Linked DNA regions of Danio rerio. The protein of the gene in region 3 interacts with the protein of the main gene of each other region in a pairwise test. Links are inferred from orthologs where the notes say so. Each region holds a gene or a part of one and is shown on either strand. Other genes may lie near its edges. The genes, in order: lsm10, keap1b and lsm3.

What was found.
Region 1: the proteins of lsm3 (region 3) and lsm10 interact in binary tests that used the Homo sapiens proteins (3 or more experiments, as listed by UniProt). The link is inferred for Danio rerio from reciprocal best matches to the Homo sapiens genes LSM3 and LSM10.
Region 2: the proteins of lsm3 (region 3) and keap1b interact in binary tests that used the Homo sapiens proteins (3 or more experiments, as listed by UniProt). The two-hybrid records come from large-scale screens. The link is inferred for Danio rerio from reciprocal best matches to the Homo sapiens genes LSM3 and KEAP1.

Annotation. Positions count from the first base shown.
Region 1 is NC_133194.1:4,215,319-4,219,658, forward strand, and holds lsm10 (U7 snRNA-associated Sm-like protein LSm10), read left to right. Parts: upstream 1-1,159; 5' UTR 1,160-1,232; intron 1,233-2,032; exon of another isoform or gene 2,033-2,115; intron 2,116-3,069; 5' UTR 3,070-3,075; coding exon 3,076-3,438; 3' UTR 3,439-3,515; downstream 3,516-4,340. Other genes in the region: protein OSCP1a, read left to right, coding at 469-588. UniProt on the Homo sapiens protein: Appears to function in the U7 snRNP complex that is involved in histone 3'-end processing. Increases U7 snRNA levels but not histone 3'-end pre-mRNA processing activity, when overexpressed. Required for cell cycle progression from G1 to S phases.
Region 2 is NC_133181.1:203,162-207,504, forward strand, and holds the start of keap1b (kelch-like ECH-associated protein 1B), read right to left. Parts: upstream 3,024-4,343; 5' UTR 3,007-3,023; intron 1,913-3,006; 5' UTR 1,664-1,912; coding exon 1,349-1,663; intron 764-1,348; coding exon 518-763; intron 1-517. UniProt on the Homo sapiens protein: Substrate-specific adapter of a BCR (BTB-CUL3-RBX1) E3 ubiquitin ligase complex that regulates the response to oxidative stress by targeting NFE2L2/NRF2 for ubiquitination.
Region 3 is NC_133197.1:33,572,053-33,576,551, reverse strand, and holds the start of lsm3 (U6 snRNA-associated Sm-like protein LSm3), read left to right. Parts: upstream 1-1,317; 5' UTR 1,318-1,380; coding exon 1,381-1,401; intron 1,402-1,594; coding exon 1,595-1,705; intron 1,706-4,499. UniProt on the Homo sapiens protein: Plays a role in pre-mRNA splicing as component of the U4/U6-U5 tri-snRNP complex that is involved in spliceosome assembly, and as component of the precatalytic spliceosome (spliceosome B complex).

The DNA.
Region 1 (4,340 bases), on a different chromosome or scaffold from region 3:
ATATTCCATGACGTGGACAAAAAAATAAATAAATAATACTGACTTTAAATGTCTGAAATAGACCTTTTAAATGTCTATGATATTCCAGAAACTCTATTACCTGTGGGAACCCTTAATACAAATGTAAAGAGACCAAATCATAGTTTTTTTATTATATTATATATCTACACTCTGTATTAATTACTGTATATTACTATATACTGGATGGATGGATGGATGGATGGATGGATGGATGGTTGGATGGTTGGATGGATGGATGGATGGATATGCAGATAGATAGATGGATGGATGGATGGATGGATGGATGGATGGATGGATGGATGGATGGATGGATGGATGGATGGATGGATGGATGGATGGATGGATGGATGGATGGATGGATGGATGGATGGATGGATGGATGGATGGATTGATTGATTGATATTTTGTTGTGGTTGTTGTTAATAAAAATTACCTTGGTATTACCAGGATGAGCTGGCCAGCACTGAACTGGCTCGCATAGCGGAAGAGTTTGATGAAGAGGGAAACCAGACGGAGGAACTGGGAAACAAGGGTGATGATTTGCTGGCCATGATGGATGAGCTCTAAAGGTCAGTCGCTATCAACAGTGAGTCAGAAAGCATGTGGCAGGTCTGAAAGGTCACAAAAAATATGCTCTGTTAGAAAATGCCTGACATATTTACTTTCATAAACATTATTAAGAACAAGCTGGAAGGCATATTCAGCTGTCATCGGTTCCCTTCATGGTTTTATTTGCTTCACACTTTATTTGAAGTGTTGTATTAACATTTTTCACTACTTTTTAATGATAAAACATTTAGTTTTAGTTTTTCATAATTTTCAAATAATACATGGTATGTTAAATACAGAAATGTAACGAACCTACATTTCAAACGAAGCTAACGTTATTCTGACAGGACGATGAAATTAAAATGTCGACTACAGCAGTCAACGCGTCTTAAAATAACAGTATATATCAACTCGCCCAACATATAGAAAGCAGCAGCATTTTAGGAGATAACTTACACTGAATTTAAAAACAAAAAGTTTGTAAACTAACCAGTTTCTCCGATTAAATATTGACGTTGTACACGTAATGAGCCACCAGAGGGCGCGCGAACGATTTTAATCCGGTACGTCTTGATGACGTAATTATCAGCTGCGACAAAGCGCGGTGCTCGAAACCATTAGGACGTAAACATGTTTTGAGCATGTAGACAACACCACGGAAGGTAATAAATGTTTTATTCACTCTCTAGTTCAGCAGCTTTTTATGAGTGGCTGTGGTTTTGTTAAAAAATTAAACAGTCATGTTCTCGGTTGAGTTGCAACTCTCGCGTGCTCCATTAAGTCGTAAAGGTTTCCTGTTCAGCTAGTTAGTAGTTAAGTGGATACTGTACACTGGTAAGTCAGCTACTATCCAGTGTGCAATCGTCATTTCTGCTTATTTCGGTATTTAACTTTGGAACCAATGCAGAGTCAGTATAAAATGCACAAAACCTTAACTACACACACATACATTAATAAATAAAGCTGCGGGTTAACTATGTTTATATATATATATATATATATATATATATATATATATATATATATATATATATATATATATATATATATATAAGCTATTGTTAAATTATTAGTAACTAATACAGTACAGTCACTAATATTATCTTTTCTAAATTTGATTGTAATGCAATAATTTGCACCTCTGAAACATTCATTATTGTGAAAAGGGCTGTACAAATAAGCCTGAATTGAATACTAGCCTTGGTATGCATACTATACTTATTGATTTAATGTTTAATATAATATAAAAAATTATCAAACAATTAAATAATAGTTGGCTAAAATTGGCACAAAAATCTTCCTACACATACACAAATAGACATATGAAGACATTAAAAAGTGCAAAAACGTATGGAAACATAATATATTATGTATGTATGTGTATGTTATGTTATTAACGCGGATTAAAATTCATTTAAAGACATTTGACAACATATTTCACATTTCACCTTTGTAAACAAACCTGCTTTGGATATTTTCTATCAATTTCATAAAAGGCGGTGTGCGATGTGTCTGTCAGCGGAGCCGTAAACCTGCAAGCATGCACTTGCCCACAACATTTAAATACAATTATTCAGCTTATGACAGACATTTTTTACATTTATGTGAGGCAACCATTTTCCATATACTTCTTTGAGATTTACAGATATACAGTTCTCAACATAATCGAGTACACCCCATTTTGAAAATGAATATTTTTATCTATTTCTTGGTGAGTATAGGGCATATATTTTGGTGCATTTGAACAAAACAGATTATATATATATATATATATATATATATATATATATATATATATATATATATATATATATTTAATATTTTACTTACAGAACATTTTTAGAAATTTTAGATTCTACATTCAAATTAATGTAAAATATTGAGAAAATAATTACAAACTACTTTTGGACTGTTATCATAAGTTATTTTGTTAGATTAGCTCCAGATTTGGCTTCAGTACTAACTAATACAATACATAAATATAATATTCATAAAGCTTCTTGTAGAAAACATTAATTTAAATGAGAGATCTGTGGGGCTGTACTTGTATATGTTAAGCACTGTATTTGCTGTAAAACATCTGCGGATTTATGCAGAATGATTTTAGGAGTATCATTACAAAAATCTTAATAAATTAAATAAAAATAATACTGTTTTAACTTGTATTTAATGTTTACAGTGCAAATCCAACTAGATCCACTTATTCGGTAAACAAAGTCTCTCATATAATATATCTACTAACAGATGGAACATATTAATTTACATACTGTATTGTACATAAATCATATGATAATTTTCATATTAGTCAATAATACTGAAATTAATTTCAAAATTGAATGCATATACAAAGTAAATAAATAGACTCAACGATGCACTAAAAATCTGCGTCATGCTCCACATGTTGATTCTGTGTGGGTCTAGTCATTACGTAGTATTATAATCAGATATTATATCACACAAAAGAAATCGTCTGATTGTTTATGATTATTTTGTGCACAGATCAACATGGACGTGAGCCATTCGATACGTGAACGCACCATCGCTGAGAACAGTCTGGTGATCCTCCTGCAGGGTCTGCATGGACAGGTGACCACAGTTGACCTGCGAGACGAGAGCACAGCGAGGGGCAGAGTGATAAATGTGGACGCTTTCATGAACATCCGGCTGGAGAATGTCCTATACAGGGACAGACGGGGACGCAAGTCGAGCATGGATGATCTCTTCATTACTGGCAGAAACGTGCGGTACGTCCACATCCCTGACCAGATCAACATTATAGAGACAATAGAGGCGCAGCTCTCCAAAATACACCGCGTGCGAAACTTCGGAGCGGGCGGTGGACGGAAGGAGTACTCAAAGAAAAAGTAGCTGATGCTTGCAGTGTGTTTTTGATGGGAATGCTCGTTGGTGAATAGTTTGTTTATATTAAAATGGTTTCTGGGTCATGTGGGAAAATGACTTGTGTTTATTTTGAGCGTCTCTGGTGGTTTGAGAATTACATAAGCAGATTAGTGAAATGACTATTGACTGATGAGTTATTTAATGTGGCGTTGTTTGTTTAAACTACACGCTTTGCTTTTTCCCATGTCAATATTGCTTAGCCAAAAGTACACGTATATTTAAGGTTATATGCAAATATTGGTACACTGATGCATTTAACACTTTGTTTACAGTGTAATGGGAATGTTTATTTTCAAAATTGGCGCTTTTAAATATTTGTAATGACTTCATGAGATCAAATGAATGACTATTAAATTGGATATCTCATTCATTTTCCTTCAGCTTAGTCTGATTATCAGGGGTTGCCACAGTGGAATGCACTGCCAACTATTCCAGCAGGAAGAGCCCCGTGCTGTTGGGGGGGGGGAGGGTTAGGACGATTCTAAGGACTCACACAGTTTTGGGGCCCCCAGAGACATTATTAGGGGCCCTAATGACCCCACCCCTTCCACTCTTCACTTTGGTCAGCAGCATCCTCCTCCTCACTCTTCACTGTCGTCCGTGCCCTCCCCTTTTCTCATTTGTCCATGACACAACGCCCCGCCCCTCTCCACTTTTGTCTGTGACACCCTCCTCCTCGCTCTTCACTTTTGTCCGTGCCCCCACCCCCCCTCATTACTTAAGTCTGCGACACCCCCCAGCTCTTCACTTTCGTCCCTGATGCATCAATCTCCCCAAAACCACCCCGCTCTTCACTTTTGTCCACGACACATCTCCCTACCCCCACTCCCCTATGCGAAAGGTTGCCAGACGGCTCCTGTATTCCAGCA
Region 2 (4,343 bases), on a different chromosome or scaffold from region 3:
TTACAATGCAAATCCATACAGATCCACTTTATTTGGTAAACAAAGCCAGTCTCTCGTATCATATCTCTCCTGAAGACATGACTGCACACTGCGCTGTACATAAATCAGATCAACATTTTCAGATCAGTCAATAATATTACAGAATAAGTACAGATGTACACACACTAACTCAAGTGAATAGACAGAATCAATGATGAGCTAAACATCTGCAGAATTCTGCGGGCCCGAATCCTCAGTGATCCCGCCGGGCTCAGATCATTTCTCTTTCTCACTACAGTCCATCTGCTCCAGAGTTTTAACTGAACCTCAGTCAGGCGATCTCGGACTGATTGATTTGGTGCAGATCCAAGCACAATTGCTGGATTCACATATGCCAAACGAGCCGCGCTGACTGGACTAACGGGACGGTTCCGAAACAGAAGTGTGGGTGTGAAAGCCCCTTATTGAGGCCTGAACTCTTGTGTTGGTGTGTGAGGGGTGTGAGAGCGGTTATCCTGTGTGCGTCGGCCGCTCTGACCTGGCTGAAGTTCATGTAGATGTACTCTCTGGCCTTCTGGTGGAGCTCCGTGCAGCCGATCTGCTCGGCGAAGCTGGCGATGCCGATGGCGTTACTGGGGTCCAGCTGCTCCACCAGGAAATCACAGCAGGCCTGAACCACGCTGTCGATCTGGTACATCACGGCGCCGTTCATCACGTGGATCACACACTTCTCACCCACTGAGATGCTCGCCGTGTACGCAAACTCAATGAGCCGGCCCATGACCTGGAGACAAGAACACACACGCACACACACACACACACACACACACCGTTTCTGAAGTGGGCACACTGAAAGGCACAGGTCACCTATAATGAACATGTCCTCCTCCTTTCCTCACTCGAGCGCTTCTACAGCTTCATCAGTCTCTGATACTCTGAGGAATGCTGGGAAAGCAGCCGCTGACGTCCACAGCAGGAACAGAAACACTGCTGCAGTCATCAGCTGCTTCCTCCAGGACATCTACCGCTGTGTTCAACAGAAACTCAAACAGGTTTGGAGGAGGAAATGAGGAGAGAGAACAGCTGCTGTCACTGATCACCTGACCACTGAGCTGTGTGTGTGTGTGTGTGTGTGTGTGTGTGTGTGCTGGAGCTCAGGAGAGGAGCTGTACACATTCAAGACCATCACTGTATCATGATGCAACACTCACACAAACACACACACTCACACACTCACACACTCGCACACACACACAGCTGGGAAAACTGCACTACAAATCCAAATTCCCATTTATTATTTTTTCCTAGTGTGTGTGTGTGTGTGTGTGTGTGTGTGTGTGTGTGTGTGTGTGAGTGTGTGTGCTGGTACCTTGGGGTGTATCCCCTCGATGGGCACCACCTCCATGCCGCACTCCTTTAGGCCGTTGGTGAACATGGCGCGGAACACAGGCGAGGACGAGGCCAGCACCACCTTATGCGCCACGAAGTCGACGTGTGTGTCGAGCGGGCAGTAGCGCACGCGGAGTGTGACGTCACACAGCTGTCTCTCGCGCCGCAGCTCGTTCATGATGGCGAAGGCGGCGGCCGTGTGGCTCTCCAGCGTGTAGCTGAAGACGCGGTGCCCATTGCTGGCCGACGGCGTCACCTCCGCCTTACACTCCGTCATGCCCGCCGCCGCCAACATCAGCGCGGGCACATCCTCACTCGCCAGCGCAGCGGTCACGAGAACACACACACACCTGTGTTAGAGACACGCACACATCATACACACACCGCTCATCACCAGCAGGAACACACGCAGAGGAACGCTCACATATCTGTGTTCTCCTGACCAGTGTGAACACACACACACACACACACACGCACACACACGCGCCTGTCAGTCAGTCTGTAGAGGAGGGCAGAGCTGCTGATCTGTGTCTGCACGCGAATCCTGAGGGGGAAACACACACACACACACAGAGAGAGAGATTAGAACAAACACTGAGGATTCACCACTGACTACGATAACACACTCTGCCATGAATGATCAGGAGTATCACACACACTCTCACACACACACACACACACACACACACACACACACACACACACACACACACACACACTCTCTCTTCTGTTGGACTCAGGACTGGTTCATCAGATCTTCGTCAGTGATTTGATCAGAACTAATGAGTTTCAGGAGTTCCTCCTGTCGTTAGCAGGAGTCTATCTTCTGCTTACACACACACATACACACACACTGACTACACACACACTGTCCTGCTGTCAGTGAACCAGAACACACTCTGATCCACACTTAGTGTGTGTGTGTGTGTTTATGAGTGTGTTTTTGTTTGTTTATGAGTGTGTGTACAGGTAAACAGAATCTCACACACTGTTAAAAATGCAGGCTTCCACACAATTCATTCATCTTGACCCAACACAAGTCGATTGAGTTAACTCAACACATTTAACAAATGCGTGTGGATTGAACATAAGAAATTTAAGTTCTCACAAATGAAACCTCAAGAATTGTGTTGTTTCAGCTCATTTTAAATAAGTAGTTTAAAAGAGCAAATATATATGCAGCAGGTGTGTGTGTGTGTGTGTGTGTGTGTGTGTGTGTGTGTGTGTGTGTGTGTGTGTGGTTCCAGCTGTCTGCTAGGTTTATTTTAATGTGTTTCTGTCAATTTGCTGAACTGAAGTGTTTATCTCCGTTTATCCTCCTCACCCCGGCTCTACAGTCATGCTTTAATTTGATTTCCGCTGTTTTCAGCTCTTATAATAACACTAAGAACACAAAGCGCGGTAAATACACATAAACAGCGAGAGGCCTGAGATCCCCGGGCTTGAGTTGAAACGGCACCGGCCCCCGGCAGCGCAGATCCGGCCACACTCAGCAGCGGCGCCGCGCCCGAGCGGGAAACCACAGACCGAGGCTGAGGAAAAGTTCAGCGCTACGCGACCCGCGCTTTAAATTATTGATGGAAACGCGAGCCGACCTCAAATCAAAACACTTTATTCGTGTTATTACCATGTTCTTACCGCGTTATAAGCCTCCATAAACAACACAGTGATCAATCAGGAATAAAGATGAAGATTAATAAAGTTCATCATGAGCTGATCTTCATCAATAAGGAGACAAGCCGCCATCCTCATCCTCACAGCTGTACATCAGAAACTGCATCAACACGAGCCTGTAGATCTGACAAACGCGGCAGTAATGTCGATTAAACACAGTAAACAATGAAAACACACTCACGGGCATCAGCAGCAGCGCACGGACACTCTCTCTCTCTCTCTGTGTGTGTGTGTGTGTGTGTGAGCACTTCTGTGTGTATGTGAGTGTGTGTACTTGTGTGTGTATCATACCCACTGAAAGCAGAAACTCAGCGTGACTAAGCATTAGCTGGCCTGTGTGTGTGTGTGTGTGTGTGTGTGTGTGTGTGTGTGTGTGAGATGCAGTACTGATGTTGGACACGAGGTGTCGCTACAGGTCAATAGAGCGGGCTGCTGCTGGGCTGTGTTTGAGCTGTTCTGCTGTTGGCTGTTCTGGGATCTGTGGTTCAGCTGACTGAACAGCTTCTGTTCTGTTCTGCTCCAGTGTGATCATCAGAGGAGGAGCTGAGCTGAGCTGAAGCTGCACACATCTCATGCCTATACTGGATCCAAAACACGATCAGTAAAACAGTCCGGCTCTCAGTGAGCAGAGCGGAGCGACAGATGGAGGACTACATGCAGAGTTATGTGTGTGTGTGTGTGTGTTCAGCAATTAACATTTTACACTGAAGGACACACACACACACACACACACACACACACACACACACACACACACACACACACACACACACACACACTGCCTCTCCAGTCTGACTTTCATTAATGAGTAAATAAACATTAAAATCTTTGTAGAAGAGCCCAATCTGTGAACAGCTGACCTCTGACCTCTGACGTGCCCGTCTACTGGAGCAGCGACTCACACTCTACTGCACTTCAGTCTGACACTCACGGCAGAGCAACACACACACACACACACACACTGGTCAGGAGAAGCTGAGAGACACACACACACTCTTCACATCTCTATTTTAATATTTCATGAGAAGTTCCAGTTTTGACAGATGACTAAGCTTGTGTGTGTGTGTGTGTGTGTGTGTGTGTGTGTGTGTGGGTAAGAAAGAGAGAGTGTGAGCGATTGAGAGATGCCCGTGGTTTAGGTGTGACGGCTCTGAGGTTGGTTTGAGTGTGTGTGTTTGTTTACGGTAAACAGTGTAAAGGTGAGCTCTGTGGTGTTTCCATGTTTGTTTGTGTGTGTGTGTGCTTGTGTGTGTGTGTGTGTGTGCATGTGTGCAACAGCAGCCCCTCTGCAGACGCACAGC
Region 3 (4,499 bases):
ATGTCATCTGAGGTTACGAGGGAAAAAGCTGCAGTTTCCACATATATCCAGCAGGGGTCCTTATGCATCTATTCATTTCAGCTTTTACTTCTTGATGCTTTAGGACCCATCCCATGCTTGAATGTCTCAGTAGTCCTTCAGCGTTAGAAGGAATGGTAGGCTATAAAATATTTTCTCAGCTTACACAGTCGATCTACATAACTGAATAGCAACACAGGCACAGGTTACTGCATCTATTTTTTAATATATATATATATATATATATATATATATATATATATATATATATATATATATATATATATATATATATATATATATATATATTTAACTGACTGTCACACATTCTCAGCATTTGCTTTTAGTTGAATTTCAAGTGCAGCAAGCTAAACTTGTTATTTATTTCTTAAAGAAATATTATAATAATTTACTGTCATGTTGTGTGACATGCAAAAGAAAATATTTAGAAAATTTTAATATTCAGAAAGTTTTTGTTTCCAATTTTTATTTGTGCTCTAGACCCAGGCCTTTGCAGAAATGTTAAACTTTTTAAAATTTATAATGGGTTTAAAATTCATTTAAAAAAAATAATCTTAATTTTTTTTCCACTTTTCTCATTTTTTTTCAGTGTGGTCAGTTTGACCTCAAACACCATAAGTTTTTTTTTTCTTTTTTTTTTTTACACATATAAAGCAACCAAATCAAGTCCAGTTGTGACTGTTTTGTTAAAGGTTGGACTGATGTGACCCCAACATTGCCTAATTGATAAAGTTGCAATTTCATATGCAAAATTGCATATAAATAAACACCAAATAGCCTACTCTTGATAACAATGCAATCCAGATGATCAGCCTCACAACTTTCACTATACAACTAAATTGTCTAATTTTCCTTTGCAGGAAATGTGAGATGGGCTTTCCCAGATATGAAAATGCGGAATTTAAAGGAAGCAGGAGGAGATGTGTTTCAAATCTAACAGGGAGGGGGAATAGTACTTCCATACTCACAAACACAAGCTTTTTTCAGGAATGTCTGTGCGATCACTGATCCATCAATGTAGAAAAGGGATGAAAAATTATAATTTTCGTAATTTAAAAAAAATAAATAAATAAATAATTGCACAGTGACATCCGGGAAAACTCCCGATCATAGCCTATGTGTATATCTTTGGCTTTGGATGGTCACAGCTTGCATTCATTTCAAAGGAGCGGTTCCCTGTACTAACATGGTGGATCTATTGACGCATTCCTTCCAATAGACAACAACAGGGTAGGCGACATCTAACGTATATATCTATGTCTAACAGGAAGCAGATGCATTTTCCGTCTAATGATTTGTTCGCGAGAGAAACGGAAAATGCATTCTGGGTAGATTTGAAAGATGGCGGACGACGCTGAGCAGGTTTGCAATTTTTGCTTTGTATAAATATTTCGTTAGCTGTTTGATTATCGCGGAGGTTAATCGTATTAATTGTGTTTATTTTTAACTAGTTGAACACACGGGTAGCCTATGCTAAAGCAGCTTGTAACTACGACGATTGTTTGCATGGACATTTTCATTCAAATAAAATACATCACTGAAATTTACTTTACAGCAACAGACCACCAACACCGTAGAAGAGCCTCTGGATCTGATTCGGCTCAGTCTGGATGAGAGGATCTATGTAAAGATGAGGAATGACAGAGAACTGCGTGGCAGACTGCATGTGAGGGGAATACTACATTACATACTCTAAGTTAGTTATACTGCACGTGAGGGAAATGCCACATAATATACTGCATACGAGGGGAAAATACTACATTAAATACACGTTTCTACTGTACGTTATTGGAAAAAATACAACCTTAAGCATATTATATAACGTTATACTAAACCTGATTCAAAATACTACATTAACCATTATATAATGTTACATAAAGTTAGTTACATTGCACGTGCAAGAAAATACTAAGTTACATTGTGTATATATAAGTTACACTAATTATACTGCACGTGAGGGAACATACTACATTAAACATTATACAGTTATACTGCACGTGAGGGAAAATACTACATTAAACATATTATAGACTCTAGTTAATCTGCATGTGAGGGAAAATGCTGCATTAAACATTATTAAATTGCACTTGAGGTAAAGTACTTTTATAGATATATTGTTAGCCTTCACGTGAGGGAAAATTCTAAATTAAACATTAAATATTATAGTTAGACTGCATGTGCGGGAGAAATACTACTTTAGTATATACTCTAGTTCACTGGTTCCCAACCTTTTTTTGCCTGAGACCCCCTTTTTCCCTGGAAAATATTGTTAGGCCCCCCTCCACATTTAATGATATAATCGCTCATATAAGTTTGCACTAATAATGACAAAAAATATTGTTTCAAACAAAGCAAAGGTAGATCTCCAGGAACAGGATTGGCCACCCCTGCTCTAGTTAGACTGCGCTTGAGAGAAAAAACTAAATTAAACAGATTATACTCTAGTTATCCTGCACCTGAGGCAAACATTAGGCATATTATATTTATCATTATTATATTTATGTTCATTCATTCATTTTCTAGTCGGCTTAGTCCCTTTATTAATCCGGGGTCGCCACAGCGGAATGAACCGCCAACTTATCCAGCAAGTTTTTAGACAGCAGATGCATTTCCAGCCGCAACCCATCTCTGGGAATACTATTTATATATATATATATATATATATATATATATATATATATATATATATATATATATATATATATATATATACTAATTAAACTACAACTGCACATGAGGGAAAATACTTATATAAATATTATATACTCTAGTTATACTGCATGTGAGGGAAAATACTACATTGTAGTTATTATATACTCTATTTATACTGCACATGAGAGAAACTACCACATTGTACATATTATATACTCTAGTTCAGTGGTTCTCAAACTGTGGTACGTGTACCACTAGTGGTACGCAGGCTTCCTTCTAGTGGTACGTGGAGGAATAAAATATGTCATGTACATGCTACACACATTTCAAAATTGATAAAAATGATGTATATAATGTCATATGACATATAGCCTATATTTCTCATGTAATCTGCCACGTTTTTTTAACTGTGCAGAGTTGTAGCTGCTTTACTGGGCCTACAAGGCTATTGTATCTCAATACTGCTCATTTTGGTGGTACTTGGAGAGACAATTTTTTTCTGAGGTGGTACTTGATGAAAAACGTTTGAGAACCACTGCTCTAGTTATTCTGCCCTTGAGGGAAAATACTACATTTTATACAGACTCAAGTTCAATTATGTCTCTAAATGTATTATGTTCTGTTATTAAAGTCACATGAATTTGGTCTGTGGATTTTTTGGAGAAAATAAAGGATAAAAACATGTAAAAGTGAATTGATAAAATCTATTAAAATGTAATAATCAAATGTTTTATCCTAATAATTGACTACACGCATTAGTGTAGTATGTAAAGTGTTTAGTAAAAGAAAGGAAACATACAGAGGATTAAAATAATATTTATATTGTAATTGTATTTAGATCTAAAATACAAGTCTAAACTAATAGTCTACAGCAGTTCTAATGTGTTATTTTAACAGTACGTATGTATATATGAACAGTATATTGAAAAATCTGTTTGATTTTAATAACAAATCACAGAGATAAGGGATCAGAAAAATGTAAATGTTTTGTATTTTACAGAGGTAAATAAACTTATGGATGACCAAAAATGTACTGAATACAACTTCCTTTGTGTGAATTAAACAGCACAACCAAAAAGGATAAATGTTGACATAAATATACTTTTATTATTTTAATATTCATTTCTTTAAATATTTATTTTCTTTTATTTACCATATTTGCATTAACAGGGCTCGAAATTGCGACTATTTTGGTCGCATATGCGCCCGAAATTTTATCTATGCGACCTTAAAATATATTTGGGAGCATTTCTGCGAGAGCTTAAAATTGTTGTGTGCAACCAGTTTGTCTGCTCTTTGTCTGCAAAAATGCAGCGCTCGGGAATGGTTTAAAACAGTTATCATGTCAACTTGTTGCAGTAAACAAATCCAAGTCCGTAATGCTTGCCCTGCCTTTGCGCTCTTCTTATTGGCCCACCACTGCTCTAGCACTGAATGCGAATGATTGGTTAATATCAGCTGTTAATCACTCAGTCGCCTTCTGGCTTCGGACGACAGAGAGGGCTACTACCGCGAAAATTGTAAAGCGCTGAAGATGAGAAAGATAACCCTGACAGATTTTGTTTTAGAAACCATGGCATCTAAAGTTATAAATAATGACACATCATACTAGTGATCATGTGCTGAATGTTAATCCACCATCTACACTTTTCCAAGAGTGGAAGACTTCCATTGGCTTCAAGTCCACTATGAAAAGTCTGTGGGATGTAATTTTCAGGTAACTGTTTGCCACATCTAGCACGAGAGCTTCTGTTTAATCCTTCATATAATCGCCAGATGCTGTCCGCCGTGAAAGTGGCAGCTATATG